3 linked regions of the Ovis aries genome follow. The protein of the gene in region 3 interacts with the protein of the main gene of each other region in a pairwise test. Links are inferred from orthologs where the notes say so. Each region holds a gene or a part of one and is shown on either strand. Other genes may lie near its edges.

Region 1 (4,270 bases), on a different chromosome or scaffold from region 3:
GAGGGTAAAGGTGATTCATTATAATTCAAAGCTTGCTCCTTTTTGCTGTTATCTTGCAAAAGACCTTAGGAAAACCTGAGGCAGTTCTTGAAATGGCAGTTCTTGAGCCCAGCATGTTTGACTACTGCAGAACAGGAAAGGGCATGTCCAATTAGGAGGAAACTGGCAATCTCTCCCAGGCCCCAGGCCTTCCTTAGGAGACCCACTCTAAGGCTATCCTTCCTGTAGCATCAGCTCAGCCTTACCTTCTTGGAAAACTCAAGCCCAGTTTTTTAAACAAAGTTTTTATTTTTATTTTTAGAAAATAAGACTTATAAATGGTTGCTCTTTGGTTTCTGTTAGAGCAATTACCTAATATAACACATCAAAGAAGACGTTTTTCTTTGCTACCAACCCAGTCTTATAATCAACCAACATTTCCTGTGATATCTGTAAGGAAAAGTGCAACTGACAGAGACCAGATCTTAAGCCTATGCTCATTGATGACACGCTGGGTGAGATGCCTCCAACGCCCACAGAAGTGATTTCTCCCAGACCAGGTAAAGCTGGAAGGATGGAGGCTAGTGTGGATCAGTTCCATCTCATTTTATGGTTCAGGAAGCCAAAGCCTGCAATAAAGAATGACATGCCCAGTGGCTTCTGATTTACTAACATGGTCATGAATATTGGTGCAGAACTTGGCTTGGAAGCTTCTATGTCGCCCCAGAGGAGGTCAGTTACGGTGAGGAGGGGTTTTGTTTGTGTGGGTGTGTTGGCTCTTATTTTAAAAATATACTCTTTGATTCTTTGTCTCATATTTTCTCAGGTTTGAGGAAATCCTTCAAAATGTTTTCTGCCTGTGGAAAGGAACGTGAAAATGGATGGTAGGAGGGAGGAGAGAAGGAAAAAAAAAAAAAGGAAGAAAGTTGACCTCTTGTCCTCCCGGGACTTTCTGTTCCCCACTTCACCTGCTCGGCTTTCTCCATGGCTCCATTCCCAAACCAGCTCGCTCTATCTCCCACCGCCATGAAGGCCCGCTAACACGGGTTTGCATTTTGAAAACCCTCGCGCGCCCGCCCGAGCTGGGCATGCTCAAACGCCCAGGACTGGTTTTTTTTCGGTTTCCAACTTTGGCAGCTCTCCCACCCGCACCCCAAGGGGCAGGTCCGCACACATCCCTGGGTGTGAGTAAATGGGAAGAAATTATCACACTCTCGAGGAGGAAGCCAGGTAGAGGAATTCCCCGAGAGGTTTGGGGCTCCTTGGCCGCTTCCCAGGGGCGCTTCCCACGGGCGCGCGCGGGTGGCCGGCCCTCGCGGGCTGTGCGGCGCCAGGGTCCGCGGCAGCGCGGGTGCGCGCGCCCATCCGAGGGGGCGAGGTCCGAGGGCTCGTGCGCGGGCGCGCGCTCTGGGAGTGGTCGCGGGGCGGCGGGCGGGGCGGCAGGGGCGGGGACGCGGCGGCGCGCGGACGCCTCGGCGAGCTGGGCTTCTTAGAGGCTGCAGCGCGGCCACCAGTAGGAGGCCGCTGGCAGCTGCTCCGAGAGCCTAGGAACCTGGTCTTAGGGGGCGCCTAGGGAGGCGAGGAGTAGAGCCTGACTGTAGAAAAGAGCTGCGCGGTGCTGCTCGCCCTTCGGCAGAGAGCGCTGCCCTCGCTCAGTTTCGGAAGGAGGTAGGGGTGGCGTGGCCGGCGTCAGGAGGAATTCGAACGCCTGCATCCAGAAAGAAAGAATTCACCTGTGTTTCGAGGCAGCGCGCCGGACTTGGAGGGAGCGGCAGCCAGCTTTCGCTCCTGGCACAATGGGCTGTACGCTGAGCGCCGAGGACAAGGCAGCGGTGGAGCGGAGTAAGATGATCGACCGGAACCTCCGGGAGGATGGCGAGAAGGCGGCGCGCGAGGTCAAGCTGCTGCTGCTCGGTAAGGGCGGCCGGGCCGGGTTGGGCGCCTGGTGGGCCTGGAACCCGGGGTTCGGGCGGCAGAGCCGGGCGCGGCTGTGCTGGGCTCTTTGGCGTTGGGAAACCCGGAGGGGACGTGCCAAAGCGGCGGAGGGCGCATCGTGTAGCGTCCGAGGATGGTTTCGGAGCGCGAGCTTGTGCCGCGCAGAGCTGAGGCGGGGGCCCCTCTCCTCGGTCTTCTTCTCTTTGCTCCCTTGGCCGCGGAGAACTCGCCGGTGGCGCGGCAAGACTTCACTCGCGTGCCTGGTGTGAAATTTCACCAGGAGCCCAGGAGCGGTTCGCAAGGAAGCCCCCTTCTTTTAAGTTAGCTCAGCTTTATCAAAATGAAAGGGCATTGGCGAAAAAGAAAGAAGAGCACCCCCCGCACTAAAACCCTGCGTACAAGGCATCGTATCGCGGTTGTGGTTTCCTCGAGGATGTCAAGAGTGCCACGTTTTGTGAAATCAGTGCACCTTTTGTGGGGCCTCCCTAGGGTTGAATTGTGTCTTTCTGGTGAACTTCCTATGGCGACTCAGTAAGTGTTAAAGGAGCACTGATTACATTTACCTTGCGTAGGGGAAGTAGGCTATGCTGGATTTTTAAAAATAACTGTGGGGATATGAGAACCACCAAAGTTGGGTAACTGGCTTCAGTAAAACCGATGTGAAAGGTGTGAATGGGTCACACGGGACAACAGGATTCTCCTCTGCTGCCAGGGCTTCTGATGAATGAGATTTGCCAGGTCGACGCAAGGCTTTTATTTGTTCTTAGTATTGTTCTGGTGGTAAAACGCTCTGCGGAGGTCTTTTCCAGCTGTTTGAAGGAAGGGAACGTGAAAAGAGTAATCCAGGATTTTGATTGAGGGATACATTTGGAAAATATTCACAGTTTAAGATTTTTGATGTGTGAGTTAGGATTTTCTTTTGTTTGCCCCGCCCCCCCACCCCCCGCAAACACACCACACCACCCTACCTATAGGTAGCAAAGTAGGTGAAAGATTTCTCAGAATCTTTGTTTGCACTGCAGCGACTGCTTTTGTTTTTGTAACAGTTATAATAAAATAAATACTATTGCACAAGCCTATTTTCAGTAAGCTTCTGTTTCATTGGTTTAATGAGTGCAGGAAAAATGGTGGGTTTTTTTCTCCATTACTAGTAGGCTTAGAAGCTGCAAACTTGGCATGACTAAAAGTAATAATGATCTGAGTCATTCTACAAGTAAACTGTGAAATAACTTTGCATTTTAGAGACCTGGTGGTTTTTCCACACCTCCCCCTACCCAAAGTAAATCTTTCTCAGTTTATACTGTTTACCTAAGTTTTTACATTAATAAGAAATAGTCTTTTGAGGAAGGCAATATATTTTTAGTATCTTGAACACAGAAGGGACATACCTTGGTATGGGAACATATAGGTGCTCCTCTTTCAAATGGAATGTGCTTCAGACAAAAATGGAGAAAGGATTGAAAAGTTCTCTTCAGCAGTTTGTGCACTCCTGCTCTGATGTATTATTTCAGTGTATTGTGTGACGCTCATTTTGAGCCAGCTATCCACCATGTTTGTTTAAAGCCTTGAAAAATGAGTCCTCTGGTATGGTAATATGCTTTACATAGATGTCTATTAGAAATAGACAAGGATAAGGGTCCAAGGAGTTGGTGTTTGCTTATATTCAGAAGAGATCAGTATTTCTCAAACTTAGCACTACTGGCATTTTGGATGGAATATCTCTTTGTTGTGAAAGCTGTGTTGTGCCTTATAGGAAGCTTAGCAGAATCTTTGGCCTCCAACTAATGTCTCAAACATGCCCTAGGGGCAAGTTTAATCTCAGCTGAGACTAGCTCTTCTAGACTGAAAAATATATACTGAATATGTAGGGTAGAACCTGAGTTTGGATCTCTACCATGAACTGTAGTGAGAACTCTGAGGGAGGTGTAGCAGAGCTACGATTTTCAGAAGAAATTAAGGAGTTTTGTTTCTCCATACCAAGTACATTAGAAGGCTTTCAAAATGACTTAAAATCTTTAGGTAGCTGATTTTTTTCAGCTCTCTTTTTTAGCTTTAGTCTTGTGCTGTTCCCACACCTTTTCTCTGTAGAAGTCCCATCATAGCATCATATTATTGGCCCAGTGAATTAGGCCTTACAAAACAGAGGACCTCCTCGTCTGTCTTACTCCCATCCTACCCTCTACCCTTTTGCCCAGAGTTCCAACATTCTAGTTCCTTTAAACAGAATGTTGGCTTATTCTTGGAATGTTTGAAAAAATATTTCTTTTTCCTAGTTTGACTTTAGCAGTGAAGTGTTGACCTTTGGTTCTTTGGGGGATTTTTTTTTTTAGTTCTTAGTGTGTAAAGAGCTCAATTA
Region 2 (3,716 bases), on a different chromosome or scaffold from region 3:
TGGACAGGATTAGGTCTCTTATTAGCTAGTCCTTATTCCCACTTCCCAAGCTTCAAGAATTATAAAAATAAGGACTGACTCAGCTTTTGTATTATCAGTATCTGACTAGTTTCCATGATTGCACATCAGTGGTTTTAAGACTTCATGGTCTGAGACTTCTCTTGTGGTGCAGTGGCTAGGACGACGCCACACTCCCACCGCAGGAGGCATGGGTTCAAGCCCTGGTCGAGGAACTAAGATCCTGCATGCTGCGTAGCACAGTCAAAGGAAAGAAAAGAAATAAACCCTTTCTGGTCTGTTTTTCATTAATAGTTAATCTACTTTTACTTTTTGCTACTGACCTATATCATCCTTTGTTTATTTCTCAGAACCGAATGCATGAAAGCATGAAGCTCTTTGACAGCATTTGTAACAACAAATGGTTTACAGACACTTCAATCATTCTGTTTCTCAACAAGAAAGATCTTTTTGAGGAAAAAATAAAGAGGAGTTCATTAACTATCTGTTATCCAGAATACACAGGTAAAGGGTCATGAAAGATTTTGTTGGAGGTATACATCTTGAATCAAAACTTTCATGACCTTCCTACAGCTGTCATTTGTTTTGAATATTGTATGTATCTCCTTGTGGAGAGTGTTCATTTGTAGTGGTATCAGCATTAAGCATGTGCTTAAGACCCCTGAAGTCTAAGGTGCTATTCCAGATATAATCATATTTATGATGTTTATATTTCTGCCCTCATTTTTTGAGGTAAAGAAAGATAAAAATTTGATATAAATATATTCACAAAAAACAAGGATAAGATAGAGTTTTGCACTCAAGAAACTAACATTAGTTATAGAAAGAGAGAGAGAGACACACACACATGTAAAGAGTTTCATTTTAGTGTGAAATGTTCATTAATAGAAGAACCAAAGAAGTGGTTACCTCAGTGGGATCAGTGTAATCTTTTTCTAGAGGAAATGACACTTGGAGTGAGAGAGTAGGAGGATGAACTAGAAATCATCAGGCAGGTGGGGGAGTAAAAAACATTTTAGGAAAAGAAAATAGCATATATAAAAATCTGCAGTTAAAATTGACATTATTTGTCATAACTGCCATGACTGGTAAGGACATCAGTGGGTTCACTTGAATTTAAACCAGCTCTAGATAGGAAAAAAATCTCAGTCTCCTCATTTGCTACTCCAGTGGAGAGCACATCTCATATTTTAGAACAAATAGGGGTGCCTTGCTTAAATAAAAATAGCATTTAATGTATAATTGTGTGAAAGGTTTATGGGTAAAGCTGTATTTTTGCAGCATTGTGACAGTAGCTTCTGCTTTAATATTAAACAGCTTGTTATTTAAATACTGGATCAAAATGGTTGGCTTCAAAATGTCATCATTAATTAACTTCATGTGCAAAAAAAGAAAAAGACATGATTTGTTCTGAAACCTAGGAGGAATTTAAAATTGCTGGAGCCTAGACTGTGGGGAGGAGTGGTTAGAGAAATGGGCAGGGATGCTTGTAGAGGGCATTGTATGCCATGCTGAGACAGGGGAACTGTTGAAGGATATTCTTTGGGGTACATGATGTAGTAGGAACTGATTTTAAAAGATTACATAATAGATGCCAATAAAGATAGATAGTAGGGGAGTTGAATTAGTAAGGACTTTCAGTATACACATTGAAACTTTTGGTGAAGGTACAGAGATACAGAATTCAGGGACAAGAATGCAGATGGTCCTCGAGAATGCAGTTAGAATTAGGAAATATTGTCAGAAGTCCTGGAAGCCCTTCTTTCCCCATCTTTTTTCTCTTCTGTGTCTTCTCTATTCTTCTCTCTCTCCTTACCAACTCTCTCCTGTTTAGTGTATATGATAAAAGTTGGCCCTGTCATGGTTACTGTATCTCCTCCATTTAAAAAACCAGGCTAGATTGGGATTTGTTGGCCCAAGGTTCAGATTGATTGGCCAAGGTTAAGTAAGGCAAAAACCCTTAGCTCAGTAAGTTGAGGTTAGGGTCAACAAACGTGAGCACTAGGGCTGTATCATTATGACCTTTAGATCAGAATTAAGTGTTTCTAGGAAAGTAGACCTCTTGTTAGCTGAGCAGATGCTGTAAATGCTTTCTATAATAAGGTGAAAGGGTGTAGCTAGGGTAAGGAAATGGAAAGAGTCAGAGATACTCTTGATTGGTACTTGGTACGTTCCTAAATATAAATTCATTTAGGAATGTTAAATATGAGTTCATATTTTGGAATGTTGGTTTTGAAGTTTCTGAAACATCCTGATAGAGATATTTAATAGATAGTTATATATATGGCCTTGGAGCTTGGGGAGAGGTTAAAGGTTAGTAACAGATACTGATTTGGGATCATGTGTAAATACAACATGAAAATGGATGAGATGACCTAGGGTGATGATATAGAATGAGGAGAGAAAAGAGTAGGATGGGAGCAAATACCAGCCTCTGTTGGCAGGAGAGAAAGAAAGGTATGTATTGGATATAAAGAGAAGAATCTGGAAAGCTGAAGTGTCATAAACTAAGAGGAGAGTTTAAATAGTGCGGAGTGGTCAACAATGTCATATGCATATTTTGAAAAAATGTCTTGTGGAGCTAGCAGTTAGAAGATCATTGACTGTTAATGGAGAGCATTGTCAGTGGAATGAGAGCAGAGCCAGGACCAGTGAGTTACTGAGTGGGCAGTGAAGAAATAAAGACAAGTATAGCCTCCTCTTGAGCAGCTTAGATAACAGGGGAAGGAGAGATCTTTAAATGTTTATAGGCTTAGAGTAAGATCCTAAAGCAAAAGAGAAGTTGTTAAAAGTAGATGTAATTAATGGAGCAAAATTTGTAATCAGGTGGGAAAAGAAGGAATCAAGAGTCTAGGTAGGATGGATGGATAAATAAATTAGTATATCTGTACTATGGAATATTATTTAGGTATGTGTGTGTGTGTGCTCAGTCGCGTCTCTCTCTTTTTGACCCCATGGAGTGCAGCCTGCCAGGCTTCTATTTAGCTATAAAAAGGAACAAAGTATTGATAATGCTACAACTTTGATGAATACTATAAACTTTATACTAAATAAAAGAAGCCAAACAGAAAAGGTCACATTTGTATGATTCCTTCTATATGGTATATCCCAAATAGGCAGATCCATAGAGACAGAAAGCAAGTTGGTTGGCAGGAAATTGACACGGGGGAATGAGGAATGGTTACTTAATGGGGTATTTTTCTGGGGTGGTAGGAAAGTTTGAAACTAGAGAGAGGTGGTGGTTGTATAACATGTGACTGTACTGAATACCACTGATTGTAAACTTACTGCATGTTATGTGAGTTTCATTTCAACTTAAAAAGTTGAGATGTAGTTTTAAAGCCCTGTGACCTCTCTCTTCTTAGAGAATTTAGAATTGCAGCCTCTGTTAAGAGTGAGGAGGAAGATGAAAGTGAAAGTGAAGTCGCTCAGTCGTGTCCGACTCTTTGCGACCCCGTGAACTGGGGCCCACCAGGCTCCTCCGTCCTTGGGATTCACCAGGCAAGAATACTGGAGTGGGTTGCCATTTCCTTCTCCAGGGGAACTTCCCGACCCAGGGTTCGAACCCAGGCCTCCCGCATTGCAGGCAGACGCTTTAACCTCTGAGCCACCAGGAGGAAGATGAGAGTTGGTTAAGTTTATAAAAGGTAGCCAGATTTTAGAATGGGAGAAAAATTTTAAGACAAGTAAAGGATTGA
Region 3 (4,058 bases):
GATGATTCCTTGCATTCTCCCCACCACACCCTACCCCCAAACAAACTACTGCAGGGATGAAGTGCCACCCTTCTAGCCACCGCTATCTCTAAGAACCCCAAATCTGTCACCCCATAATAAAGATGATTTGAAGTGTTACAGTCTTTTGGGGTTGGGGAATGGAAAAAATATGAAATTGACTGCATCATGTTTTCAGAATTTTGTGCCCTAGGTTCAACATGTGGATGGAAGCTTTCAGCATAGTTTTAAGAGCAAGAATAAGACTTGGGGTCCTATGTTAGTTTAAGGAATCATCTTAAGTCTCTAGTAATCCAGTGAGAAACCACACACATGCATACTCTTCATCCCTCTTGGAAGGGCATTTTGTTATAGCCACTTAGATCTGATTCCTGAGGCCTCAAGTAGAGGGAGATGGAGAGAGCATCAAACTTTAACTACCATTCAGCAATAGGGTTATGCCTCTTTCGTGGCGATGGACCTGAAACACACAGGCATGAAGCATTTTGAAAACTAATAATAATTACTATTTATTGAGCATTCACTACAGGACAAATGCTTTATCACATTTGATCCTCATATCAACAGTATAAATGGGGGGGGGACTCCTTTTTACTCTTCGAGAATCTGAGGCACAAAGATTGTATGTGCCCAAGATTGCAAGGCATTAAGTGGCAGAACCTGATCTCTTTCTTCATCATATTTCATGCTCTAAGTCACTCAGCTAGTGTGACAGTTTGCCACTAAGAGGTCCCAAATGTCTCTGTCCTGTTTCCCACTTTGGTGCCAGCCAGTCTGACCAGCATTGATCAAAGCCCAAGTCAGGTTGTGGTCCTCTCCCTTTTCCATTTCACAATGAGAGGAAAGCTTTCCCTTCGTGTCTTATATTTGGTGCATATTTTGTACCCTGAATAGACTGTAAGCACCTTTAGGGCAATGGTAACTACTCAACCCACATTTAAACACAGTGCTAGGGATATACGTATGTTTGAGGGCCTGGCATCCTTGGATCTGTCTTACCCCTGGAAACATGCCCCTCACCATCCCAGTAAGTCAGGGAAGCTGGGAAGCAGGGGGTGGGTCCTTCTTAGAGAAGGCACCTGGGGGTGGGGGGTGGGGTGGGGGGTGGGGTGGGGGGGTTGGGGGGATTCTGAAGAGTGAAACCACTTCCTTTGTAGCTAGTTCCTGTGTTGACAGATCTGAAGGGGAGGAGGGGGGTGGAGGGAACACAGCTGGGGTTTAGGGGGCTACTGAGGCTCTGGAGATGAGAAAGCCAAAAATCCTTTCCCATTCTGAACCCCCACCACTGCTGCAGCTGGAGGAGCTTTTCCCAGTCTCTCTGCTCCCCTGGGGCAAGAGAAGTCAAGCAAGCAGTTTGGGTGGGAAAAGAGAACTGGAGGAAGTTGACAGGGATGGGCGGGGCCCGTGGGGGGGCTGACCAGGAACCCAGCTTCCTGCTCAGTACCCAGGCATCCAGCCCCCGGCTCACCCCCACCCCTTTCGGCCCCTACTCCCCTCAGGAACTCAGGGTTCCGGCCCTCCTCCCAAATCCCAGCTACCCCCTCCCCCATCGGTTTCTCCCCTCCAGGGTATGGAGGCTGAGAGACCCCAGGAAGAAGAGGATGGTGAGCAGGTGAGCTCGGCACTGGGCTGGGGAGGCTGACACTGGGAGAGAGAGAGGTGAGAGGACCTGGGGCAGAGACTGAGTGACGGTGGACGCCGGGGACTTGGACGGGTTTGGGCACACTGAGGCAGGAACAGAGACACAGAGGAAGTGGGCTGCTGGCCTAGCCCTCTGCCCACCCCACCCCCACTTGACCGGAACGGATGTCTCTCAGCATCAGGGCCCCCATCAGGATGAGCATGGCTGGCCCCCCGCGAGCTCCAGCACTCGGCCTTGGAGGTCTGCCCCTCCGTCCCCTCCTCCTCCAGGGACTCGCCCTACAGGTACCCCCAGCCCCGCTCTGGGGAGCTCCCTGACCTGGTACACACTTCTTTCCTGATCCTATTACCAAGGCCCACTCCGTCAGGGGCTCTCTCCCCAACCCTCTCCAACTCCCCATCACACCCTGGTAGCCCTGACACCCCCAACACACACACACACACACCACTCCTTTTGCCAACCTCCCTGGATCTGAGCCCCCGCCTCCTCTCCCCAGCCCTGGGGCCCCGCTCGGCCTCCCTGCTCTCCCTGCAGACCGAGCTCCTTCTGGACCTGGTAGCAGAGGCCCAGTCCCGCCGCCTAGAGGAGCAGAGAGCCACCTTCCATCCCCCCAAGAACCCCCCAAGCCTAGGTCGAGCCCTGCCCCGGCCTCTTGAGGACAGAGAACAGCTCTACAGCACCATCATCAGTCACCAGGTGAGACAACCCCTGCCCCTCCCCCCAGAAGGCAAGACCCAGGCTTCTTGGTTCTGGCCCCTTTTCTCTCTTGGGTCCTACCCCTCCTTCTCCCCAGGCATCTGCCCCCTCGCCTACTCTCCCTATCCCCACATCATTGGTGTCCTTTATGCCCCTCACACCAGCCCTGCCTCCTCTCAAGGCCTGCTCCTCTTAAAACCTCACCATCAACCTCCTCTTCCTCTACTCCTCCAGTGCCAGCGGATGGAAGCCCAGCGGTCAGAGCCTCCTCTACCCCCAGGGGGGCAGGAGCTCTTGGAGTTGCTGCTGAGAGTTCAGGGTGGGGGTCGAATGGAGGAGCAAAGGTCCCGGCCCCCCACACACACCTGCTGAGACTTGAGCCCCCACCACCCCCTCTGCATTCCTGGGGCTCAAAAGCTGGGCAGCCCCACTCATGCCCTCACCCCTGCTGGGGAGGAGCACCAGAGACTGGAAGACCCAGCAGAAATCTCAATATTCATCACCCTCATCCACCTTTCCTGGGAAGTGGAGCGGGCGAAAGTCTCAAAGCCTAGGAATAGCCAAGGTAGGATGGATAATAACTCCCGCCATAACCAAGTGTGTTATGAGGCTATGAGAGGATCCCAGCCTCAGTGGGACACCTCACCCTCTCTTCTGATCTCAGGGAGTGCCTGAGAGTCTCCGTCCTGAGCTGTGGGAACAACCCCAGTAGTCAAGCTACCAGGTGGGATCTCAGGGTTCTGTCCTCCATCTCCCAAAAGAACGGCAAATCTCCCAAGGTTTTGACCTGGGAATTCCACCCTCCTTCCCAATAAGAAGAAAGGAAGAGAGGGCACGGCAAGACATAAAGACCATTCTCACATCTCCATCACCCGCACCCCCTAGCCCCAGGCCTACAGGCTGTGAAAGGACATTTAGCCCTGCCCCCCCTCCCTCCCCACTGCTGTTCTGAACTGTCTGATGTTTGGTTATATGAATAAATGTGATCCCCCTCTGGACTGAAGACTGGTGTCTGGGGTGGCCGGGTGGAGGGTAGGTAGGTGAGGCCGGAGGCTGCCCGCTCTCCCGAGTCTGGCCAGAGGCCAGCTCCCCTCCCTGGCTGGTTAATTACTGGCTCATTAAGCAGCGGCTGGAGACCTCCCTAATTATCCCCCCCAGCCCCCCTCTCCTGGTTTTAATTAAGTAGAACAGGGAGGGGAGTCATTAGGATAAGAAATATGAACTAAGCTGTCTGTGAACCCAGGCATTCCAGCGGCCAGGGTCGTCATCAGCTTGATCCCGGATTCAGAACCCGGGTGGAAGAACCCCCAGCCTCCAACACGCCCCCGCTTCAAGGCCACAGAAGTCCAGCCCCTGGGCCCTTCCCTCTTTTTCCCCACGGGCTAGTCTCCGCCCTCGTCCCCTCCTCCACTCGGTCTCAGTTCCTATGTTTCTGTGCGTCTCTCTCCGCCCCCAGCTCCTCCCTGTTCCTCCTCCCTTCTCCCCTCCTCTTCCTCCCCGGCTCCCCTCCCCCAGCCTCCCTCCCTCGCTCCCCCCTCCTCCCTCCTCCCTCCTCCCTCTCTCTCTCTCACACACCCCCGCTTGGGCCTCCTCTCTCTCTCCGGCTCCATTTTCTCCGCCGCCGGGGGCCGGGGTCTCCTGTGGGGGGCCCAGACGGTACCCCAGGTCTCCCTTCAGGGCCGGGGTGAACCCCCGGGAGAGA

The links.
Region 1: the proteins of GPSM3 (region 3) and GNAI1 interact in binary tests that used the Homo sapiens proteins (3 or more experiments, as listed by UniProt). The two-hybrid records come from large-scale screens. The link is inferred for Ovis aries from reciprocal best matches to the Homo sapiens genes GPSM3 and GNAI1.
Region 2: the proteins of GPSM3 (region 3) and GNAI3 interact in binary tests that used the Homo sapiens proteins (3 or more experiments, as listed by UniProt). The two-hybrid records come from large-scale screens. The link is inferred for Ovis aries from reciprocal best matches to the Homo sapiens genes GPSM3 and GNAI3.

Annotation. Positions count from the first base shown.
Region 1 is NC_056057.1:42,546,185-42,550,454, reverse strand, and holds the start of GNAI1 (guanine nucleotide-binding protein G(i) subunit alpha-1), read left to right. Parts: upstream 1-1,470; 5' UTR 1,471-1,775; coding exon 1,776-1,893; intron 1,894-4,270. UniProt on the Homo sapiens protein: Guanine nucleotide-binding proteins (G proteins) function as transducers downstream of G protein-coupled receptors (GPCRs) in numerous signaling cascades.
Region 2 is NC_056054.1:86,823,435-86,827,150, forward strand, and holds part of GNAI3 (guanine nucleotide-binding protein G(i) subunit alpha-3), read left to right. Parts: intron 1-368; coding exon 369-522; intron 523-3,716. UniProt on the Homo sapiens protein: Heterotrimeric guanine nucleotide-binding proteins (G proteins) function as transducers downstream of G protein-coupled receptors (GPCRs) in numerous signaling cascades.
Region 3 is NC_056073.1:26,271,141-26,275,198, forward strand, and holds GPSM3 (G-protein-signaling modulator 3), read left to right. Parts: upstream 1-1,205; 5' UTR 1,206-1,409; coding exon 1,410-1,630; intron 1,631-1,835; coding exon 1,836-1,944; intron 1,945-2,156; coding exon of another isoform or gene 2,157-2,194; coding exon 2,195-2,356; intron 2,357-2,590; coding exon 2,591-2,728; 3' UTR 2,729-3,354; downstream 3,355-4,058. UniProt on the Homo sapiens protein: Interacts with subunit of G(i) alpha proteins and regulates the activation of G(i) alpha proteins.